Mytilus edulis: one gene and its partners. The protein of the gene in region 1 purifies or fractionates together with the protein of each later gene. This does not show direct contact. Links are inferred from orthologs where the notes say so. Each region holds a gene or a part of one and is shown on either strand. Other genes may lie near its edges.

Region 1 (9,038 bases):
GATGAAAAGTGAAGTCTGGTCTGCAATATATGATTCTGATGTTGCTTGTCAAACATGTCAAAAGGAGATTTGTGGTCAAAATAACATGAAGAGATGTTGTATGATTGCCAATTGGACAACTATCCAACAGAGTCCAAATTAAACTGATTAAAGCAATTATATGTCCAGGGAACAGCCTTCAAAAGTAAACATAAGTCGTCTTGGTTGTGTGGAACATATGGAATGTGAACTAGTAAACTTGACAAAGGTTTTATGGATGATTTGGAATAATATCTTATAATTTGTTTGAAATATGCATTATTCGCATGTTTGTTACACACATGCTATACGCATCATTTAAAACGCATATTATACACATGTTTCTTACAACACATGTTTAACACATGGTTTTGAAACATGCGTTTTACATCACATATATTTTTCATGTGTAAAACGCACGAATAACGCATGTCTTAAACATGCGTTTTACATAACATGTACTTTTCATGCGTAAAACGCATGAATAACGCACGTTTAAAACATGCGTTTAACATAACATGTATTTTTCATGCGTAAAACACATGAATAACGCATGTTTAAAACATGCGTTTTACATGCGTGGTAGGAAAAAGACGTTTCCCGTGCGTTACCAAACACATGTTTTACATATGTAAAACATGTGTAAAACATGCGTGGCACTTTTCCCTGTGTACAGTGACCTATAGTTGTTAATTTCTGCGTCATTTTGGTCTCTTGTGGAGAGTTGTCTCATAGGCAATCATACCACATCTTCTTTTTTATAATCATTCACAATAATTCATAATCTCTTTATTTTCATAACAAGAAAAAGTTAAAGTAAAACGTGCAATAAGCTATATATTTGTATTACATTTTCATTTCTGATTCACATGAAGTAAATTTGTACCCCTGACTGTTTGTGAGGAATTAAATAACCAAACTATCTAATGACTTAAAAGTTTACATATGTACATGTACATGTGCAGATTTGACTTGTATCTATTTTTACCATGTACTATTACCAACTCTATACCTCATTTTTCAATACAAATCCATGAAAATTGTCTTACAATAAAGGAATCTCATCCCTGTAATTTAATTAGTGGAGAAATCCCTTCTTCACGCGAGAATTTGCATCAGTTACAGGGCTCACACTACTTAAGAATTATAGGGAGAAGTGACTTCTCTTTTTGAAACTGATAGGGAGAAGTGGTGAGATTTGAAAGAGAAGTGCTCATTCGCGCGGTGCGCTACAATGTTTGGATTTTACAATAGTATAAAGGGCCTATGTAAATAATGTTCTTTATATGTTGTTCAATTCATATGAGTAAAAAATTACAATTAAAGTAACATTTGAAATAAAAAGTTGTTTAAGTTTTACTAAGGTTCTTGTGAGAACCTACCAACTAAATATCTAGCACTAAAAAAAATAATTTTATTTTAAAAAATGTAAAGAAATTATAATATATCAATTACAATTTAATTAAAAATTATCTTGTGTATGAAATTCAGTGTTTCTCATAAAAAAAAATATAAAAGTTATTAAGCTGGGCCATAATATATTGATATTAGTATAATAGTCTCAGAGTTAAGCAACTTTAATCAATAGTTTGAAACAATCCATAAAAAATATTGGTAATTATATACACCAATGAATTAGATGTAACCAAAAGTCTCTTAATGCGTGTGGAATGCGTAATTTCTCTTTGGGATCAATATTCTTCTGTCAGCTGTTCCATCCGTGCGTCCGTAGTAATTATTGTAAAAGTACAGATTTCGGTCATAGCTGGTCCGGTTCAGATCCATAGTTTAGAAATCGGTCAATGGCGGACGAATGCAAGAAAATTTACAAAAATAAACGATGTTTGACAAGTTATTTGGAAAGGAACATGACGGTTTTAATGCAATAAAAGGATTAAGCATTTACTGGAGGCAACTTTTATCACGTTTAAATGAAGTAACAAACTTATTTTGCCGCCGAAATTTAGGTTGATGTACGCTTTCGAGTAACAAGCACCGGAACATGCGCAAGTTGCGGAAATGCACGAAGTGATAAAAAGTTGTATTTTTATCAAATAACCTGCTACACACTGCGAAGACAATGCTTCAACCTCTTTTTCTAAAGATAATGAATCGTTTATGTCTGAATTTCTTTAATTAGCAGTAAAAAATTGATGTTTCATCAACTTGGTAAAAATTGAAAATGTCTGTTGACGGAAGCGACTGAAAGCGACTATCGTCAAGAACAGGGCGACTTGTTTTCGCTTTTGGGGGTTGGGGAAAGCCAAGTGACGGTCGGGAAGGCGACTTCTTCGCCCAAGTCGCCTGGTAGCGTGAGCCCTGCAGTTCAACTATTGACGTCATACAACAACTCTATTCTCTTAATGTTTACATATATTGTATTGTGTAGTCAAAATCTTACTAGGACGTCCGTGATGTCCAGTAATGGCAGACAAACAGCATTACTTTAGTTTCAAGATACAGTGTCCATTTTACCACATCCCATTTTATTTTTCACACAAACCTCAATTGTCTGTAATGACAACTTTTCAGACAACATGCAGGCTTGGGATCAGTGTAACATAATCTCCATAAACATCAACATCAACAATACTGGCAAATTCGTAATTCTTCAGCATTTTTGTACAATACTTTAGAGTAATAGTGAAACATATTTTTTAGAAATGTTTTTTATTTAGAAGTGGTATTAGAGTAGTGATGTCATTGCAGAGTTTTCTTGAGTGATAAGTACAATAACAATGTCCGGACGAACCAACAAGATGACCGAATATGGACTACAGTTCATACAAGGCACAAATGTGCACCATAATTCAGTTACCTTGTTTTGTAACCCCTATTAGCTCCTCAGCACAATGACTTATTTCACATTATTTCGTTTACCAGTTAATACCAGTAATACCAAGTCAATTAAATGCCAACATCAGTATATATTCAATGTGTGCTAATGTACAAAATTTTGGGAATATGTCAGGGACGCGGTTGCAATATTTATAGCTTAAAGGGAAATGCATTTCGGACGCATAAAAATAGTATCATTAAATGCATTTCCATAGCATCATTCTTTACCTGTTTTATATACATCGTACAGTAAATTAATTCATAGTTAATAAATTAACATAAAATTTCGCGGTCTGCTTTGTTTACAAATTGCAAATGGCGGCAAAATTTATATCGCTTACGTCAACACAAAATTGCCTATATTTACTCGGTTTTTATATTTTCATTGGTTTCATTCATGGTTTATTTAAATAGTCAAAAAGGATTTCATTAGGTATAAGTTTTTTTTTCATTTCATTATGATTATTAATGTTAAAAATGTTATAAGCACTTGATCTACAAAAACTGTCTAAATTAAGTACACAAAACCCCGTTTCGTGACCTAAACTTCGTGTGTCTTTGCATGCGCGTAGCTACGTTTACGTCAAAACGCCCGGGCGTACACTTGAATTTTGAAAATAAAACAAATAATCGACATAGAATAAGAAAAACTGGTCAAAAGCACATCAGCCTTGTGCTTCTTTTTTCAATGGATTGTAATTTTAAATAAAAAGGGACTAAATTTACTCAAATAGATCAGTTAATATATTTATTTGAATCTTTTGTAAAAGTCTGAATCTACTATAAATTCTACGTACTTTTCTTATATTTAAAGCAATTCACTATCTGCTCAGATTCGATATGCTGTTTGTATTTTTTGTCGAGCCTGTGAGATTTTTGAAACTATGGGATCAACTTCAAGTTGTTATATTGTGCAATGTTTTATCAAAATTATGATACAATGATATTTTTAATTTTTATATTTTCTTTAACATATGTAATAGTTTTAAACTAGTCATTTGAGGGGGAAGATTTTATAGCTTGCTGTTCGGTTTGAGCTAAAGGTCCGTGCTGAAGACCGTAATTTGACCTATAATGCGGTTTATTTTTACAAATGGCACTGTCTACGGTTACATTCAGTGAAATGAAACAATAATAAAAATAAATATTGTTACATTGGAGACTATTTGCCAGAATGCAGGTTTGGGTAAAAACCTATTGATTTCGAATGTAACAATAACGACTGTGTCTACCCGGTTACATTATGTAGATATGGCTCCAGTCGATCATGCTCAGGGACTGTGTCCATAGCGATCTTAAGGGCTGCTGCGATCTAAGAGCTCTTGTCGATCTTATGAGCTGCTGTCGATCTTAAGGGATCCTGTCGATCTAAGGGGCTCCTACCGATGATCTAAAGGGTTTCTGTCGATCGTAGGGGGTTCTTACCGATCTAAGCTAGACACTTGTCGATCGAAGGGGTTCTTGTCAATCTTGGGGCTCTTGTCAGTCTTAGGAATTTCTTTTTATTCGAAATTTTATTCAGCTGAGTGATGTTTATATTGTAACCAATGAACCGCTTATATTATAACAATATGCCGCTTACACAAATGCCGCTTATATTCATTGTTCAATGTACCGCTTATATTGTAAAATGTACCGCTTATATTATAACAATATGCCGCTTACACAAATGCCGCTTATATTGTTCAATGTACCGCTTATATTGTAAAAATGTACAGCTTATATTGTAACAAAATGACACTTATATTGTCACAATGTTCCGCTTTGATAGTTTATAACAATGATGTACCGCTTTAATAAATTGAAACTAAATTGTAACTATGTGCCTCTTATATTATAATATAATGTTCCACTTATGTTGTTACAATGAGCCGATTGATACCGAAACAGTCCCGTTATTAATTCTAAATTCGTCAATGATACCCACGTGAGAGTCCTGACAATTACAGAATACAATACGACTGAGACCAGACAAAGCCGTTTGCAATGCGATAGAGCGGACCGTGATAGGATTACGTTCCGACAGTACCTGATCATCCCGAGTATGCCGACAGTTTTCGAACGGATAGCTTCCGTCAGCGTTGGTTCATTGTCTAGTCACTATCTGATCTCTGTCGGATTACATTCGGTAGAATGGGGACGCAGTCGTGACAGACTCGGTAGAATTTTACCTGGTGAAAGAGACAAATCGGACTAGAAGCGGATTTAGAACGGGATTATCGGGATAAATTCGCTTGGAAACGGTTGAATATCGACGCTTCCTGAACAATATCTGATTGTTGTCGTGATTAAACTATTTTTTTTACAAATTTTAATTAAAGTTTGAATTTCCATCCACGATTCATAGGATCTTGATCAGACTTTTAATAAATTTTAATCGGGAATGGTCCTGTCAAGGACGCCAGTAAAAATCGTGAATGTGTGACCCCAGCTTAACTCCTAATTTAAAACTAATAGTACGGTAGGTGAAATACCGAATCAGTGGTGACACAATGAACGTTGTGCTCGCCCAAAATTTGGGAGGTTGTGAAATTGATTAAATTTGAATCAAATATTTTTTTAAATATTAGTATCTATTTACACTGCTAATCCGCTATACACGCTACCTTTGAGAGTTAGATCAAATATAAGTAGCTTGGAGCCAAGATAATGTTAAGCGATTGTCATTAATATTCAACTCAGCGTGATAGTTTTGTGATAGATAAATACATTCATACCGTACATAAAGAATATCAAATAAACTTTTCCCAGCCTGAATATCCATGTAATAGTTCCCGCTGTGCATTAAGCGTCCTTAGATTATATTCATATGTGACTGTGGGCATTTTAATTACTGCGTGTCATCAGTTTTACAGTTTTATTGGCATGAGCAATACTGTGTTAATTATTTTAAACGAAAAATGCGACCTGCATACCATTCATATCTTAGACACAAAATACGCACAAGTACGCATATTGTACGTGAATTTCCCTTAAAATTCAGCATTTTACAATGTCCGATAATTTTTCAGAGAACAACACTCAACAACGTCCTTTTTTTAACAACCGGTCACTTTTTTTGTATTCATTAAGAAAATGTGAATAAGAAAGTAGGCAATCTTAACATTTAAAACTGATACGTGTTTCTAGATTATAACTATTACTTGGAAAATTACAAGGTTATATTTTTCATTAAGTCACAAAACATATTACAACTTTGATCAAATTTAACCATTTTCGATTCAATGCTTATTTTCTGCCCTGGAAACATTTTACAATAAACTTGCAGTATTACGACATATAGAAATTCACTGGGTGCTATGTATTTGAACGGTCTTTAGAACCGAGTATATGTAATTCAATTTCATTTCATGCTATCTTTCTTTTTATATAATATGTTATGATTGGAATATAATACAGTGGCGAAAACTTTCATTGGAGTAGGTTAGCTAAAGAATAGCAGGGAAAAAAAAGAAAAAAAAGGTCAATAAAAGGTCAAATGGACAGACATGTACTACTATAATAACGACCTTTAGAACAGTAATCACAACGGTAATATGTTATCTCTGCTGTTCTTTACTAGTTTTGTTCAACCTCCCGAATGCTTGATAGATTGCTGTTCTTAACTAGTTTTGTTCAACCTCCCGAATGCATGATAGATTGCTGTTCTTAACTAGTTTTGTTCAACCTCCCGAATGCATGATAGATTGCTGTTCTTTACTAGTTTTGTTCAACCTCCCGAATGCTTGATAGGTTGCTGTTCTTTACTAGTTACGTTCAACCTCCCGAATACTTTATAGATTGCTGTTCTTTACTAGTTACGTTCAACCTCCCGAATGCTTGATAGATTGCTGTTCTTTACTAGTTTCGTTCAACCTACCGAATGCTTGATAGATTGCTGTTCTTAACTAGTTTTGTTCAACCTCCCGAATGCTTGATAGATTGCTGTTCTTTACTAGTTTTGTTCAACCTCCCGAATGCTTGATAGATTGCTGATCTTTACTAGTTACATTCAACCTCCCGAATGCTTGATAGATTGCTGTTCTTTACTAGTTTCGTTCAACCTCCCGAATGCTTGATAGATTGCTGTTCTTTACTAGTTTTGTTCAACCTCCCGAATGCTTGATAGATTGCTGTTCTTTACTAGTTTTGTTCAACCTCCCGAATGCTTGATAGATTGCTGTTCTTTACTAGTTTCGTTCAACCTCCCGAATGCTTGATAGATTGCTGTTCTTTACTAGTTTTGTTCAACCTCCCGAATGCTTGATAGATTGCTGTTCTTTACTAGTTACGTTCAACCTCCCGAATACTTTATAGATTGCTGTTCTTTACTAGTTACGTTCAACCTCCCGAATGCTTGATAGATTGCTGTTCTTTACTAGTTTCGTTCAACCTCCCGAATGCTTGATAGATTGCTGTTCTTTACTAGTTTTGTTCAACCTCTCGAATGCTTGATAGATTGCTGTTCTTTACTAGTTTTGTTCAACCTCCCGAATGCTTGATAGATTGCTGTTCTTTACTAGTTTTGTTCAACTTACCGAATGCTTGATAGATTGCTGTTCTTTACTAGTTTTGTTCAACCTCCCGAATGCTTGATAGATTGCTGTTCTTTACTAGTTTTGTTTAACCTCCCGAATGCTTGATAGATTGCTGTTCTTTACTAGTTTCGTTCAACCTCCCGAATGCTTGATAGATTGATGTTCTTTACAAGTTTCGTTCAACCTCCCGAATGCTTGATAGATTGCTGTTCTTTACTAGTTTTGTTCAACCTCTCGAATGCTTGATAGATTGCTGTTCTTTACTAGTTTTGTTCAACCTCCCGAATGCTTGATAGATTGCTGTTCTTTACTAGTTTTGTTCAACCTCCCGAATGCTTGATAGCTTGCTGTTCTTTACTAGTTTCGTTCAACCTCCCGAATGCTTGATAGATTGCTGTTCTTTACTAGTTTTGTTCAACCTACCGAATGCTTGATAGCTTGCTGTTCTTTACTAGTTTTGTTCAACCTCCCGAATGCTTGATAGATTGCTGTTCTTTCCTAGTTTTGTTCAACCTCCCGAATGCTTGATAGATTGCTGTTCTTTACTAGTTACGTTCAACCTCCCGAATGCTTGATAGATTGCTGTTCTTTACTAGTTTTGTTCAACCTCCCGAATGCATGATAGATTGCTGTTCTTTACTGGTTACGTTCAACCTCCCGAATGCTTGATAGATTGCTGTTCTTTACTAGTTACGTTCAACCTCCCGAATGCTTGATAAATTGCTGTTCTTTACTAGTTTTGTTCAACCTCCCGAACGCTTGATAGATTGCTATTCTTTACTAGTTACGTTCAACCTCCCGAATGCTTGATAGATTGCTGCTCCTTACTAGTTTTGTTCAACCTCCCGAATGCTTGATAGATTGCTGTTCTTTACTAGTTTTGTTCAACCTCCCGAATGCTTGATAGATTGCTGTTCTCTACTAGTTTCGTTCAACCTCCCGAATGCTTGATAGATTGCTGTTCTCTACTAATTTCGTTCAACCTACCGAATGCTGTGTTCAACCTCCCGAATGCTAGATAGATTGATGTTCTTTACTAGTTACGTTCAACCTCCCGAATGCTTGATAGATTGCTGTTCTTTGCTAGTTACATTCAACCTCCCGAATGCTTGATAGATTGCTGTTCTTTACTAGTTTTGTTCAACCTCCCGAATGGTTGATAGATTGCTGTTCTTTACTAGTTTTGTTCAACCTCCCGAATGCTTGATAGATTGCTGTTCTTTACTAGTTTCGTTCAACCTCCCGAATGCTTGATAGATTGCTGTTCTTTACTAGTTTTGTTCAACCTCCCAAATGCTTGATAGATTGCTGTTCTTTACTAGTTTTGTTCAACCTCCCGAATGCTTGATAGATTGCTGTTCTTTGCTAGTTACATTCAACCTCCCGAATGCTTGATAGATTGCTGTTCTTAACTAGTTTTGTTCAACATCCCGAATGCATGATAGATTGCTGTTCTTTACTAGTTTTGTTCAACCTCCCGAATGCTTGATAGATTGCTGTTCTTTACTAGTTTTGTTCAACCTCCCAAATGCTTGATAGATTGCTGTTCTTTACTAGTTACGTTCAACCTCCCGAATGCTTGATAGATTGCTGTTCTTTGCTAGTTACATTCAACCTCCCGAATGCTTGATAGATTGCTGTTCTTAACTAGTTTTGTTCAACCTC
Region 2 (8,489 bases), about 67 Mb from region 1:
TCTCCGAACGTGAAACAAATATCATACTCATAATAGTCTTAGATAATACATGCAGCACACTGTCTGATTCCGATTGACCAATTTTTTTTTTTTTTGTGAGACATGGATGCACGTGCTGTCGTGCCTCTGGGTAGCTACGCCCCTGTAGGTCCAACTTAAACTGATCTAATCACACACTTTAACATATAAAGTATTCAAAATATGCAGTCAATAGACCATGACTGAGGGGATAGGGCCATATGATTCTGTGGAAATGGGATGTGTCAAGAATAATTACATCTGCATACCAAATATAATTGACCTACTTATGGTTCCCCATAAGCTGACCTAATTACAAACTATACATGAAAACTTCAACAAAAGTTACAAATTTAATAGACCATAACTAAGGGGGCAGGCCCAAATGTTCTCCAAAGAAAATAGATGTACCAATGCTAATACAACTACTATCCAAATTTCGTTGACTATCATAAGTGGTTCCCATAAACTGACCTTATTACTAACGATCAACATAGACTGAATAAAAAATATTGCCTTAAAACAGTATTGTATAATATTTACCATGTTCTTTTAATATCTACTGCACTAAAATCTCTTCTTTTCAGCTGATCAATCTTTGTAGCAGCAAGCCTGAAATTGTTCATTGTTTATATTTACAACTAATTTTGATATTTCGTCCAATTTATATGCACTTTGAGTTAAAAAAGTTAGAGAGTGGAAAACAATTTGGGGCGTACAGATGGACATGAAGGGGCATTAAGATTCTCCCTGCAGCTCCATGAATATTGATATTGATAATTTTCAACTAAAGGGATCTTTTCATCACTTGACAATTTTCAGGTATATTTTGTAGTTTTTCTTTGACAACTGAGCATATTCATATATAAATTACTCTCTTCTCCTTAATGGTCTTTATGCTCTTGATGATCTATCTCCCTTATAATTGATGATCTATCTCCCTTATAATTGATGATCTATCTCCCTTATAATTGATGATCTATCTCCCTTATAATTGATAGTCTATCTCCCTTATAATTGATGATTTATCTCCCTTATAATTGATGATCTATCTCCCTTATAATTGATGATCTACATTGTATCTCCCTTATAATTGATGATCTACATGTATCTCCCTTAAGTTATAATTGATGATCTATCTCCCTTATAATTTCTAGTATTTGCTGCAGACATTTAAACAGTAAATATTTTAAATACATGTATAATAATTTAAATATATATGCTAAAAAATTAATAGATGTACAAGTAAAACAATCATTTCTAACAATACATAAAATTCTTATCTATTAAAAATGGAAAAGGGAGGGGTAGAGATAAAGTTGAACACCAGTTTTATAAACACAACTATGATCTTCAGCTTATTTAATCATTTCAATGTTTTTATGTTAAATGTGGACTTACCAAACTGTTCCAAATTTTCCTCCTCTTCTTTGAAGAATACTTTGGTGATAGAACATTATTGAAATATATATATGTACCTGAAACAACATTATAAAATAGTAAAAGAAATATTATTCATATAGAGACAGTTTGTTTTTAAACTATCATTTCCATTTTTCACTATCCAAGAAATCTGATTCTAATTCAAAAGCTTAGTTTTATGTTTTTGATTACTATTGTGCATTACTTGCTCTCTACTGCTGCGTGGTTACATGGAATTAAAACACCTCAGGAAGAGATAAACTAAGATGATTCAGCTGGCTGTAACTTTTTTTTAAATGATGTCAATATATTATTTATTTATAATTTAAATTAATTGACAAGAATTATTGAAAACCCTTATTATTGACACTTTTAATTTCTACAATTCTAAGTAACGGTCAGATCTTTTAAAACACATTCATGGCGTATGATGCCTTGAAGCATCACCTGGGTATCGCCATATAATTGACACTTTTAATATCTATAATTCTTCAGGGCAGATTTTTTTTTATTTTCTGTTTTATGTGAAAGATTTGAGTTTGATCAGTCTGATAAGATAATCTACAAGCCACAGATACATGTATGTACAGAATACAGCAGTTTCTGGTTTTTAGTTGAATCTGTCATGTAACTTCCATCACATGACAAAAATGTAGACATTCCCCATTTCCATTCTCAATTGTATCGTCACTCCCAACACATGTTTAGCAAACAGGTAAAAAGTGATTTTATACTGCACAAAATATTTGGGAAATTGAAATCTAATAAATGGTCATCCTCCCTCAGTCGTACAGGAGTTTAAGTTTATGTTTATGTTTTTGATTACTATTGTGCATTACTTGCTCTCTACTGCTGCGTGGTTACATGGAATTACAATACCTCAGGAAGAGATAAACTAAGATGATTCAGCTGGCTGTAACTTTTTTAATGTACAGAATACAACACATTTAGCGTTTTTATACTGATATTCTAATGATATACTAACCCTAACCCTAACCCTAACTCTAACCTTAACCCTATTTGAAAAAGTAAAAATGAAAATATCAGTATTAAAAGTGTCAATAATATGGGTCTGATGCTTGGTCCGTTTCTGTGTGTGTTAGTTACATTGTAGTGTTGTGTCATTGTTCTCCTCTTATATTTATGCGTTTCCATCAGTTTTAGTTTGTTACCCCGATTTTGTTTTTTGTCCATGGATTTATGAGTTTGAACAGCGCCAGCGGTATACTACAGTACTGTTGCCTTTATTTAGACAAAGTAAAATACTTCTGGAACATAAATTATTTCTATACTACCCTATTTTTTGACGATTCTGAAAATGCTGGAAATTTTTAATAGAGAAGGGATACAGGCACACCATCTATCTGGTAATTTACATCATGAAGGCATGCAAAATTGACAATATTTTCGGGTGAATCCAGGATTCCAGAAATATGACGAAATAATATTACTGAATACTTTTGAACAATGTTTTATAATACAAAATTCACAATTCATGTATAAGTTTGAGTGTTCTCTATTTTTCTCAACTTAAATTTGCATGCTATATTATTTCAACTGAAATAAATCAAAAGGAAACATTTTTGTCTGTGATAGAAACGAGCGCCTGTGCTTTTTTTTTCAAATAGTCTTAAATTACATGGTACACTAATTACTGAAGGTGAACCCCTGAATTACAACAACAAGCAAAATATAACCTTACACTTGCAGTAAATAATATGAAATATAAGCTTATAATTTTCGGACAACTTGCACACCTCTTTCAAAAAACAAAAGTTTCAAATTTCCCGCCTACACAAGTTATTTTTCGATTAGTGCTTGAAATGATCCATTAAAGCTCTACTGTACTAAACACTTGGTTGATTAAGAACTTTTGTGATTTTTCTAATTTTAGAAAGCGGTCCGGGAATTTTTAATATGCACTTCCGGTTGTTTCGAAAGTGCAAGTAAAAATAGTAGAACGTAATTTTCTAATTCTGTAGACCATAACGATTTTTTTACAGGGCAGAAAACAACAAGTTTAAACAAAATATGCCACCACCAGACAGGTAATTTCATTTTGACATCTGATCGCGCTGCTGCTTGCTGTAATTGCACAGGCACTTGTTTCTATAATTTACGACTATGAGTCTATACTAAAGTTAAACAGACTCTAGACAGTCTAGTCCTATAAGTTAACATATGACCTCAGGGGAATTGTTAACTATTTCTGATTTATTTTTTTTACCTATCAATGTGCCATTTGAAAAAGTAAAAATGAAATTATCAGTATAAAAACGTTAAAATGAATAAGACTGCAAAGCCATATGTGAGGGGTGGTAGGAGGGGTCCTGATCCCAAAATCCCCGGCTTAAAAATACCAAATCCTGAGGTCCTGAATTTAAATAAACCTAAATCCTGACATCCCAAAATTCGAAAAAAGAATTCCCTGATCCCGAAAGGGTTAATCCTGAAATCCTGAGCTTAAAAACACCCGATCCTGGAGTCCCGATAAAGGTCCTATACCCCCTCATATGTTATAGGACTAAACAGACTGATTCACGTTCGTTCGGACAGTCCCTTTTCTCTTGTACATTGTACCTGTTCGCCATAGTCCCTTTGCTCTTATACCTGTTCGCCCAGGGTCCATTCGCCCTGGCTTTTTTTGTATTGATGTAAAGTTGCATAATCACGTTCATTATTTGAACAGAGTATGTAACAGTTTGTTGGTAAATTTGCCAAATATTTCTTCCTCTTCTTTAAGTTTCTAGCGATCCTTCAATTGTCGACTATAAAATTTATAATTTACATTGTACAATGTACTATTGTAGCAAGAAAAATCAAAAATAACAAAATCAAAAAATCAAAATAACATAAGTACAAATGTACATTTGAAAAATAAAATTAGATAAAACTATATACATTTGATAACAGAATAGTTAGGGATAGAATATGGGATGAGAGCAAATTCTGAGATCATATACTCTTGAATCCCGGTACTGTATACGTACTGCATGATAATATTTGTTTTGGCAGATGATTCAAATTTATAACTGTTCGTGGATAAAATGAATATTTATAACTGTCTTTAGATGTTTGTATTTGCCTAAATGAGTGTGAATTGGGAATTTGCTATGTCAGCTGGTTTTATTGTCTAGTTGGATCAAAAGGTTATGTGTAGGGACTGATACAATTGCATGTATAATTTTGTAAAAGAAAACAAGTCTGTATCGTAAATGCTTGTATTTGTATTGCTGCAACCAAAATAACATTGATTTGCATAGTAGAATATTGGGGTACAATGTATTTATCTTTATTAATATATTTTACAATTTTAATAATTCTTGTCAGTCAATTTATGTATTATAAGAAATGGATTATGAATATAACTTAAAAATGAATCCTTGTCATGGTTTACAGTTCGTCCCAGATTTGTTTAATTCGTTCCAAGTGATTTTGTTCATGCATACTAGAATATGAGACTTACATCTTAGGTTGGGAGATAAATACTAATCAGCTGGCAATCATGTATTACCAAAGCACATGTATTTACCACCATGGTCTACATTTTTAACCGGATTTTTGTGACAAAAAAGTCGGTTATTGATTTGGGGATGTACGGCGGGCGGTCGGGCGGGCGGGCGGGCGGGAATCAAATGTTGTCCGTGCATTAACTCATGAACCGTTCAACCAAAGCTTTTAAAATTTTAATATGTTATTACTGACAACTATACGAAGGTCAAGTTCAATAATGGCGATTTTGACTTTTACCGTTCATGAGTTATGGTTCTTGAAAGATTGAAAAATGGAGTTGTCCGTGCATTTACGCATGAACTGTTCTACCAAAGCTTCCCAAATTTTAATATGTTGTTACTAATGACAGAATGGAGGTCAAGTTCAATAATGACGAATTTGACTTTTACCGTTCAGGAGTTATGGTTCTTGAAAGATTGAAAAATGGAGTTTCCAGTTGTGTCCGTGCATTTATGCATGAACTGTTCTACCAAAGCTTCCGAAATTTTAATATGCTGTTACTGATGACAAAATGGAGGTCAAGTTCAATAATGACGATTTTGACTTTTACCGTTCAGGAGTTATGGTTCTTGAAAAATTGAAAAATGGTGTTTCCCGTCGTGTCCGTGCATTTTCTCATGAACCATTCAACCAAAGCTTTTGAAATTTTAATATGTTGTTACTGATGACAAAATAGAGGTCAAGTTCAATAATGACGATTTTGACTTTTACCGTTCAGGAGTTATGGTTCTTGAAAGATCGTAAAATGGTGTTTCCATTCACGTTGTTGCATTTACTCATGAACCATTCAATCTAAGCTTTTCAAATTTTAATATGTTGATACTGATGACAAAATGGAGGTCAAATTTGATATTGACGATTTTCACTTTCACCATTCATCAGTAATGGTTCTTGTGATATTGCCAGGACACAAATAAATGTTAATAAATCCGGTTTGCTGTCGTTGTGACAGCCTCTTGTTAAACATCTTATTGCGATTTGTTCATCATAACTGGAAATCACCAAGGTCCTGTACAAAATATCTGACTCTACAATGAAAATGTTGATTGTTGTATGAAGTCAATAGTTCAAGTGTTCAAGATAAGTGGGTCAACCAGCACAGATTCGTAAATAGCTATAAGGTGTAATGCCAGCACATATTCTAAATCAAAAGTTCTTAAAACTGGAGATTCAAATAATTATATCTAGTTTTAGTTTTATCGAGTCCATTTGCCTTGATAACATGCATGTTCACCCCGTGTTCTTCGACCCATAAAAAGTTTGCCCTACATATGATATATATACAGTATACTTTATATAAAAAAGTTGAATAACTCCCATGAGGTCTTTTGAATTATATTTTGATCAACACTATTAGAGAATGACTTGGATTTGAAATGGTATTTAAAGATTCCCAGGAACAGCGGTATTGTCAAAATGTCAACTTGAAGTTCAAATTGAAGTGTGATGAATTTTGATGGAAATTAAATGTACTAAAATCAGAACTGTCAAACCTTATAATATATTTTCAGGTGGCAATAATTCAAATATTATTAAGCTATCACTCATAATTTTTAGCAGACTCAAAAGCTACTAACAGCATGAACCGGATTACCTTAACTAATATTTTTTACACATTGTGACTTGGATTCTTGCTCAAAAGGGAGATTTGTGACCCTTTCAACTATCAATATTAAAATTGGGAAAGGAAATGGGGATTGTGTCAAAGCGACAACAACCCGACCATAGAGCAGACAACAGCCGAAGGCCACCAATGGGTCTTCAATATAGCGAGAAACTGCCACAAGCTTAGGTGTCCTTCAGCTGACCCCTTAGAAGATATGTAGACTAGTACAGTGATAATGGACGTCATACTAAACTCCGAATTATACACAAGAAACTAAACTTAAATATCATACAAGACTAACAAAGTCCAGAGGCTCCTGACTTGGGACAGGCGCAAAATTGCGGCGGGGTTAAACATGTTTATGAGATCTCAACCCTCCCCCTATACCTCTAGTCAATGTAGAAAAGTAAACGCATACCAATACGCACATTAAAATTCAGTTCAAGAGAAGTCAGAAGATGTACAATGTAACAAAAGAAACTAAATAAAATGACAATAATACATAAATAACAACAGACTACTAGCAGTTAACTGACATGCCAGCTCCAGACCTCAAATAAACTGATTGAAAGATTATGTCTTCATCATATGAATATCAGGTACAATCCTTCCCATTAGGGGTTTAGTATCATACTATCATAAAATATATGAGAAGAACATAACCCGTGTCATGCCAACAACTGTTTTTTAAATAAATGTGTTTAGTTCCGATGCAAAGACCCTATAAGTGAATCAATATTAGTTGATATTGAGTACACATGTTTATTGAAATTAAAATCTATTTTGTATGATGAGGAAAAATGTCACTGTCACTCTGACTGACAGCCTTAACAAAGATAACTGCTCATTGATAAAGGCTGTATGCTGACCTGCTATTGTTCATATCTTTGACCTTTTTGTCTTCATCATGTTTATGGATAGTTGTCTAATTGTCAATCATGCCACATATTTATATATATACTGGGTATGTTTTTGACCCCTCCGTTTGTTCGTCTGTCTATCTGTCAGTCCTGTTCTTGTCATCTCAACTCCACTGAAACCACACAACAGAATTTCGTGAAACCGTTTTCTATAATAAAGACATACTATGTAGATGTGCATATCGACAGGAAATTATGATTTAATAAAAAAAAAATCCCAATATACTACTGCAACAGCTTGTCATCACAACTCCTCTGAAACCACACAACAGAATTTCATGAAACTGTAGAAAATAAGGACATACTTTGTAGATGTGCATATCGACAAGAAATTATAATTATGATTCAATTTTTTTTTCTTACAGTTATTTTGTTTGTCCAGTGCCGATATAGGGACGTGGGCCGGGGTATGTGAGCGCTCTCACTAAGGTTCTTTAATTTTATATATGTTTTAGGTGGGAGAAGTATGGTTCCCTTGGTGAAGTGATAAGTGGTACCAAGTTTGTTGCATTCAAAGTTCCATTAAAGAAGGTAAGTCCTTGATATATATATGTGAATACTGATCATTTTAAATTAAAACCTAATGATGCCCATTATGAGCAATAACTATGTAATCACAGTAAGTTGCATGAGCATGAGCAAAACATATAAAGGTATTTATTATGTTAAAAGCAGTATTATTCATTTATTGTCTGCAGTCATGTCAGTTGTTTGTTAATTATTGAAGATTCTTTGAAGCAAAACAAAATTAAGAGTTTAGTTAAAGGACTACCAGCTGTTACTACAGTTTTCCATAACATTTGATTTGTTTGTCAGCAAAGATTTCTCAATAATTACAGAATCTATACTAAAGTGTGTACAAACAACTATAAGATTAATTTTGCTTGTTTGCTAGATGAACCATGAAATCAATACATGTATTAGCTTTGTTCATTGCCTATCGAAAATTTCTAACCAATCAAATCACAGGACAAGTAACAAACAGATTAAACTTGAAACCTGGTTGACCA
Region 3 (8,660 bases), on another chromosome or scaffold:
AGTATTTTTATTCAGGGTCTGTATCTCTTGTTTTGCCAAAATTGCTGCCTCAGCTAAGTTTGATACCTGATTGAAGCTGGACACAGGATCTTCCTGACTGGCTTTTGGGCCTCTAGGCTTTTCTTTCAGATAACTTTTCAGTCCTGGAACAGGAGGAACCTTTGGGGAACAAACCACAATGACTGTGGAACCCTTGCCATGTTTGATCTCTGATTTTTGTAGAACTTTACTGTTATTGAGTCTTCCTACAGGGTCATCATTATTTGGGGTGTACTTGAACTGACTATAAACAGCAGGATCCATGTAATGACTTCTAAAGTTTAGAACAGTTAACCCTTCTTCACTGTCTTCTTCTGAATGTAAAACATGAGTTTTACTAGTGATCATTCTGGGAACATTACCTTCTTTACGCCTTGTGTATGTTCGTGTAGTTTTCTTTTTACTATTTTGGTCTGCAAATGGGTCCTCTATTTCTCTTTCAGGAGAATCGGAAAACACATCCCTTCTCTGTGGCCTTCCTTGAACCTTATTTTCTTCTTTGGTAACTGCCACAGACTGATCACCTGATTCTTGGTCATCATCGCCCCCTTTTTTCCTACGTGAATATGTACGTACAGGTCGTCTAGAAAAATTAGACAAAGGAATTTCATCTTCCTCCTCTTCTGTTCTTTCCTCTATATTCTCAGAATTATCTACAATTTGCTCTTGTCCTTTATGTGATACCTTTAGATTAGGGATAGCAGGACGTCCTAATCCACTCCCTGAGTTTGAAGTTGGAGGGGGTGGTAAAACAGGGGCCTGAACAACTTCTTTTTTCACTGTCTCACCATCTTCAAAATCAAAAGAGAAAGGATCTGCAGATTCTGTCTCTATTTTGACTTTTTTACATGTGACTTCAAATGGATCATCTTCTCTTAAACGACTGAATGAAGTCTTGCCCCACTTGGTCTGTGATGTTGACCTGTTCGCTGCTGAATTTGGTTTAAGAGCATCATCAAATGCTTTACTCTGAGCAGCTTCTCTGTTGGCCTTCCCATAGGTTTTAACAGCAGATTTGGTAGCCATGTTGTATCTAAAATATAAGTATATAAAAGCATGAATATTGAATTTCAAAGTTCATTCAAGTCTGAAAAATTAATCATTAAAAATCAAATTCAGATTGAAACTAATTATTGTTTTTTTTAGTTTTTCAGTAAAATATTCATACAGAAGTTTACTTTTTTGCATAACAGATTCAGTTCTTCATTATCCACTATAATCCCTAAGTTCAAGTATATATATAGTTAATAAAAATACCAAACATTTCAACAGAACACACACAAAACATGGGAAATACGACTTTTCACAAAGAATAAGGATAGACTTCATGAGCATTTGCTGCCACATTCATGTCCACACATTTCTTTGAAATTATCAAGTTGAAAAATAACGTACATGTACTGAAAAGAATTTAGCATAATTAAAAAGTAACACAGGAAACAAACAATTATCTGATTGGGGAAAATTCTCATAAATGGGTACTATCCCCATTTTGGGGTAAAAATTGTATTCATTTATTATACTTTACATATATTTAATTTATACATAGAATTCTAGTGGGTAACATGTTATCACGTGACATGGAATAATTCAGCTAATTTTCATTTAATTGCAAGGAAGGACAAATATGCCTAAAAATTTATAACAGCTGAGAATAACCCTATTAATCACTGGCAAGTAACCTTTTTGGTTTCTTGATTATTACATAAGTTATCTCCCATGAAAGAGATGTCACAGACGTAATTAAACAAAAGTGCAAAGTTCACGTTACTGGAAGACCATCGATCAAGAGAATAAGAAATAAGAATTTGGAAGATCATCTTGTGCCGATGATATCTCTCATAAATGGTCCTTTGGCTTGTTTATACTATACAAATCATTGGTTGTACAAACAAGAATTCTAAGACACTAATGTATTTTTGAACATAAACTTTGTATGTCTACTGACTAAAGTAAGTAAAGTGCTCTTAGTGATTCAAAATACCCTTCCACTGTTAGTTTGGTATAATAAAACAATTGTGGCCCCTTAGAAGCGATGAATGTCAAAATTGTCAACCCTTCAAAATTATTATACTTAAACTTCTTGTGTTAACAGTTTTAGATATTCACCTTGTCTATGGGTCATTATTGAAAATTATACCCAACAATTGAAAATAGAATTTAATGATGTAAATACTGCATGTATTTAGCTTGGTATGAGTAAAAACATTGAAGATTTTAAATGAAAAACACTAAAAGATTTTAACAGCTTGGCTCCTTTGATCTGAAACAATGAAACAAAAAAATCATAGCAATGCACTAACCAAAACATGCTTAAAATTTATTCAACACAAATACCTTGTTATAGTCTCAATTTATTTTGAAACAATGAAATAAAAGTTAGCAATACACTTAACCAAAAAAAGATTACGATTTATTCAACACAACAAACACGTCTTAATTTAATTTAGGACAATGACAACAAATATACTTATAGGAATACACTGACTTGCCAAAACTTAATTATAAAGTTATTAAACACAAAACCAATAAAAATCTGGCGCGAACGTGTAGGGTGTGAAAGTGAAAGGGAGCGGACGTGATAGGGTGCGAACGTGAATGGGCGCGAACAGACTCAGATTCTTTTAGGGGTATAATACCAATACACCTTATTGCTATTTAGAAATCTGTCCTGCTTGACCAGATAATCGGACCCTTCTAAACTATTGACATCCTACCACAATCACTTTTCCATTGTGGGCGTCAGATAATTTGTATTTATTACATCAAAATTTTAATGGAACCTTTGAGATGTACAGTAATAGCGAACAAATAGGTATTTGCAGTATATAATTTGTTTCCCAATCCACTATAAATAAATATGTTTAAAGCTAAGTGGTGATAATATCCAAACTTGAATATGAACAGCTGTAGACTAGTCCACATTCATCTAGCCTGGGGTCCTGGCTAATCTTGTCAGTATACGAGGCGCAGCTAGATTGGGCCGGATGCCAGGCTAACATTCATCTTGACAAAATACCTAAATAGTTGTTGTAGTAAAGGTAAAAGCAAAGATTTTTTTAAAGTATGAAGTATGCACAAACAACATGCCAAGTCATCTGCCATGATCTCGATTTGAAAAGTATAAATTATAATTTATACGCAATACAACAAGATCTTAGTTGATCCTGATGTAGCTACGAGGAACAATATAATCGTCAATTATTTGTTTTTCACAGAAAGTAGTTTAATATCTCAAAAAAATAACTCTAAGCTAGACGTAAATCAATGTGCATATCTATCAGAAAAGGCGAAAAAAGATTGATCATTTTGAGGAGGTAAGATAACTCGTACAAGAGAAAGATTGCGTTCATTCGTCCATCTGAGAACGTGTCGCGCCAAATTCTTTGAGTAAAATGTTGCGTAAATGCATAATATTGTAATGAAAAACTCCCATTTTCAATTCACCTGTTAAAAACAAATCTGCATGATATACAAACACAATCGGCAGCTATCGCCTGTACAGCGCCATTTTGAAAATTCTAACAATAACAGTTGTACGCAGGCGCACTCTCATCGCACTTGTCTTTCAGGACAGATTTTACAGGCATTGTTTCGTAAATCAAAGGGGAAATAACTTTAAAAATAGTTCAACTAATCAGTAAGTGTTATTTCCCTTTGACCCATTTTTTCCCCAATCACCTGCACATTATTAAATAATGATTAAAAGCACTACTGTAAATAATTAAAGCAACATTTAGAACAACATACTCATGAATTGGTTATATATTAAATTTTATCCATGGAATGGAAATATTTTTTTTATAGATATTTGTCCTTTAAAAGAAAGAGTCACATGTAAAATATGTTATCTGTAAATATTCGTTGACATAAAATGTTTTTGTTGGCATTATGATGTAATAACACATACAGCTTGGTCTATTGTTTCGGCTTAAATTTTTGATAATTCCTGCTATCCTTTTAGTGTAACTTAGTTTTAAGATCTACCAAGTTACGGCAAGTGCGGCTAATTATTTTATCTACATGTATAAATTACTTTTAAATGTCAATCATGGCCAATAAGCAACACCTCAGGCGGGCACAAGAGAAGATCGAAATGTGTTTTATAAGACAAAATAAAAGTCATGGATGACTCGTGAAATGATCCCCACATTATGGACCTCAGTAGATGTTTGCTCTAACGACCGAGGACTCGTGAAATGCTCCCCACATTATGGACCTCAGTAGATGTTTGCTCTAACGACCGAGGACTCGTGAAATGCTCCCCACATTGACCTCAGTAGATGTTTGCTCTAACGACCGAGGACTCGTGAAATGCTCCCCACATTGACCTCAGTAGATGTTTGCTCTAACGACCGAGGACTCGTGAAATGCTCCCCACATTATGGACCTCAGTAGATGTTTGCCCTAACGAGTGAAATGCTCCCCACATTAAGGATCTCAGTAGATGTTTTGTCTAACGACCGAGGACTCGTGAAATGCTCCCCACATTGACCTCGGTAGATGTTTGCTCTAACGACCGAGGACTCGTGAAATGCTCCCCACATTGACCTCAGTAGATGTATGCTCTAACGACCGAGGACTCGTGAAATGCTCCCCACATTATGGACCTCAGTAGATGTTTGCCCTAACGAGTGAAATGCTCCCCACATTAAGGATCTCAGTAGATGTTTGCTCTAACGACCGAGGACTCGTGAAATGCTCCCCACATTGACCTCGGTAGATGTTTGCTCTAACGACCGAGGACTCGTGAAATGCTCCCCACATTGACCTCAGTAGATGTTTGCTCTAACGACCGAGGACTCGTGAAATGCTCCCCATATTATGGACCTCAGTAGATGTTTGCTCTAACGAGTGAAATGCTCCCCATATTATGGACCTCAGTAGATGTTTGCTCTAACGAGTGAAATGCTCCCCACATTATTGACCTCAGTAGATGTTTTGTCTAACGACCGAGGACTCGTGAAATGCTCCCCACATTGACCTCGTTAGATGTTTGCTCTAACGACCGAGGACTCGTGAAATGCTCCCCACATTGACCTCAGTAGAAGTTTGCTCTAACGACCGAGGACTCGTGAAATGCTCCCCACATTATGGACCTCAGTAGATGTTTGCCCTAACGAGTGAAATGCTCCCCACATTAAGGATCTCAGTAGATGTTTGCTCTAACGACCGAGGACTCGTGAAATGCTCCCCACATTGACCTCGGTAGATGTTTGCTCTAACGACCGAGGACTCGTGAAATGCTCCCCACATTGACCTCAGTAGATGTTTGCTCTAACGACCGAGGACTCGTGAAATGCTCCCCACATTGACCTCAGTAGATGTTTGCTCTAACGACCGAGGACTCGTGAAATGCTCCCCACATTGACCTCAGTAGATGTTTCCTCTAACGACCGAGGACTCGTGAAATGCTCCCCACATTATGGACCTCAGTAGATGTTTGCTCTAACGACCGAGAACTCGTGAAATGCTCCCCACATTATGGACCTCAACAGATTTTTGCGCTAAAGACAGAGGACTCTTGAAACTATCCACACAATATGGATCTCAGCAGGACTAAATAGGTTGGCCGCATCCGTGAGAGCTATAGACGACTTCAAGCTAATCATTCAGCTGTTGTATATTTCATACATACCGGGTATATCATATATATAGAAAACCCTAACTATTCATTGTATCACGATGGCGAGGTAGAACTTGGATAAGTTTATTTTCTATTGAATGGGCCCATGAAAAGCACCACAAAATCACTGATAATACACTATTTTAAACAAAAACGTACAAAGTACAAAGTTTGAACGTAGAACATATCTCTACATTTTGATTTTATATGTACCTGTCGTACTAATATGCCATCCTCACGCCCAGTCACGACAGAGAGGTATTATAATGATCTAAATAATGGAAAAACAAAGGATATTGTGTATCCATCCATAACACAAAATCAGTTAATGCACAACCACAACAACAACAACAACAACAACAACAAAACACACAAAAAGCAAAGGAACAGCGCTTTTATTGCCGTTCTTCATCTCAAAGTCACAGTGAGGCCCTCAACACGGAGCAAATAAAACTCACATCACTGCAAATTTTATACATGTATTTTCATTATAATTATATGGTCATATATATTTATTGATATATCCATATATCTTACATTGAGCAGCATGTCAATTTCCAACCAGAAAGCAACTGCTTATACATTATGGAAAGAGAGAATAAATTGCGGAAAACCTTCATGTTCTCTTATTAAGTTTTAGAATATGTGCTCGATACAAAACAAAAATGTTTTCATCAATTATAGACGACGATGCTGTTAAATGTCCAGTGTCATATTAATTGAATATACAGGACGAGAACATGTTAGTGTGATATTATTTTTAACCATTCTCTGTACTAGACGGACAAGGTAACAATCTTAAGGAAAACATGCTACCCAGACACATTATTCTGCATCCAAGCCTACAAATCGTTGCTCTTACTCATAAATGTCACATGCCTAACTCTTAGCCGTAAATGCCACATGCCTAACTGAGAATCAACACATACAAATGTTCAAGTCTATGTTTTACCCGTCCCTGAATTGAAATCATGACCTCCGGCGGAACTCTAGATGAGCACACAGTCATGAGAATACCAAGGCGATTCAATTTATTGTATTTGTTGTAATGAGTGTTGCTAGCTTACCATCCAGTTGCAATTCAATTTAATTAGATCTTTTGAATTAAATTGCTCATAGCTTGACTAATTGTAGGAACGGTTAAACTTTACTTCGAATTAAACGAAAGATTAGAACTGAGCTGAAATGAGGCTAGCTTGATTTGTTTTATTGACCCCATATGTGTTTTTATGATGAAAGTGTAATTCAATAGACAATCGGTATTGATATGGGAACAAACCGAACTCCTTTTCTCATCGGCACGTTTTTGAATATATTCCGGTATATGAGGCAGTTAAAATCTAATAGTTAATTTATATCCTTCATAAAATGATACCAAGAGTTGAATGGAGTAAGAATAGAAGTACGTTTACCCTGGAATTGCAAATGCTTAGCAGGGTACGTCCGTTTAGATGCGCTGCATATATAAATAAGCAGCTATTTCCAATTGGAATTTTGGGCTTTAATTCCACTGCCTTGTGTAGGGAGAGTGACACGATTTCTTGAAGTTTCAAACCTGAACTGCTACATGTACAATTGCAAACTAGCTGCTCATGTCTTTCGTTGTATTCTTGTCATGTTACAGTTAAATTTGCACCACCTCTGCAGAACCTTTCTATTGGAATATTTTCAATTTGTTTCCCCTATGAATATATATATATATATATATACAACTCGTCTAAACATCAACCCAACAATGTTAGATCTGTAAATTTGCTTTCGCAAATTTTTGGTTCTTCCCTCGACGGGATTCGAACCCATGCTACTGTGATATCGTGACACCAAATCGCCTGCACTGCAGCCGTCCCGCTAGACCACACGACCACCTGGGCTCTCAAAAAAGAGCTTTCGCTGGCCGTGTGTTACCTTTCCACGTCAGTTTTAATCTAGCGGCGTACTGCAGTACATGATATATAAGGCATGAAGATGTTATTGTTACAGATCAGCTAAATTGAGTCAGTGACAACCCTACAACAGAGATATATATATATGACATGCGGTGTTAACCAAATAATCCTATAAAAATCATCTTTTTGAGTCTTTGAATGCTTGGTTTATTCAAGTTCAATCTTTAGCTATATAGCTGATCCATTACCTACAATGGAAAGAGTACAATATTATCTTGGCATATTGAGTTCGATTTTCGTAACATATTGAGTGTGACATTATTATAGCATAAGAAGTGTGTAATATTGTCGTGCCATAATAATTAAAAGCGTTATATTGTTGTGGCATTTAAGAATATCATATTGCCGTGGCATATCAAAAGTGCAATATTGTCATAGCATATTGTGAGTGCAATGTTGCCATAGCATATTTAGAGTGCAATATTATATTTTATTAACCAACTAAGTGCATTATTGCCAAAAATGACTGGTTATTGAAAATAACGTATTTTCTGTAATGGCCCTGTTTTTCTGTAATGGCCCTGTTTTTTCTGTAATGGCCCTGTTTTTCTGTAATGGCCCTGTTTTTCTGCAATGGTCCTGTTATTTCTGCTATGGCCCTGTTTTTCTGTAATGGCCCTGTATTAATGCCCAGCTTGTCTATATTAAGCCCAGTTAGGGTTTTTAATAAAGTTAATAAAATTAAGCTGTAAAGAGTATAATACCTGTTTGTAATTTATTTAATTTAGTAACCAGCAACAAACATTAAAGAACCATATAAAGGGATCACTGTTCATCCCGTTTTTCAACACATAAATTGGTTTCTTTCAACTTAATATCTTGGATATTTGGGATATTTAAAGCTTGATCATGGTGAAGTACAATTTTTTTTTTCAAACTAAACTGTCATTAAAAGAGTAAGAGAGTACACCAAGTTGGCAGCACCACATACACTTTTTCAGTTGGTTAAAAAATGTATTAAGAAATGGGTGTTTTTATAATGGCCCTGTTTTATGTCCTTGGTCAGTAATAATTGCCTCGGATGTCTGTAATGGCCCTCGGCGTTGCTT

What was found.
Region 2: the proteins of structural maintenance of chromosomes protein 3-like (region 1) and meiotic recombination protein REC8 homolog purify together in Homo sapiens (affinity purification with mass spectrometry; 3 studies listed by BioGRID and IntAct, with this or other methods). This does not show direct contact. The link is inferred for Mytilus edulis from reciprocal best matches to the Homo sapiens genes SMC3 and REC8.
Region 3: the proteins of structural maintenance of chromosomes protein 3-like (region 1) and wings apart-like protein homolog purify together in Homo sapiens (affinity purification with mass spectrometry; 7 studies listed by BioGRID and IntAct, with this or other methods). This does not show direct contact. The link is inferred for Mytilus edulis from reciprocal best matches to the Homo sapiens genes SMC3 and WAPL.

The regions. Positions count from the first base shown.
Region 1 is NC_092347.1:1,273,091-1,282,128, forward strand, and holds the start of structural maintenance of chromosomes protein 3-like, read right to left. Parts: upstream 3,212-9,038; 5' UTR 3,100-3,211; coding exon 3,085-3,099; intron 1-3,084. UniProt on the Homo sapiens protein: Central component of cohesin, a complex required for chromosome cohesion during the cell cycle. The cohesin complex may form a large proteinaceous ring within which sister chromatids can be trapped.
Region 2 is NC_092347.1:68,466,677-68,475,165, reverse strand, and holds the start of meiotic recombination protein REC8 homolog, read right to left. Parts: upstream 3,254-8,489; 5' UTR 3,198-3,253; exon of another isoform or gene 3,143-3,197; intron 1,497-3,142; 5' UTR 1,476-1,496; coding exon 1,420-1,475; intron 631-1,419; coding exon 562-630; intron 1-561. Other genes in the region: RNA/RNP complex-1-interacting phosphatase-like, read left to right, coding at 3,472-3,488, 7,935-8,010. UniProt on the Homo sapiens protein: Required during meiosis for separation of sister chromatids and homologous chromosomes.
Region 3 is NC_092352.1:23,025,787-23,034,446, forward strand, and holds the start of wings apart-like protein homolog, read right to left. Parts: upstream 3,627-8,660; 5' UTR 3,487-3,626; intron 1,073-3,486; 5' UTR 1,066-1,072; coding exon 1-1,065. UniProt on the Homo sapiens protein: Regulator of sister chromatid cohesion in mitosis which negatively regulates cohesin association with chromatin. Involved in both sister chromatid cohesion during interphase and sister-chromatid resolution during early stages of mitosis.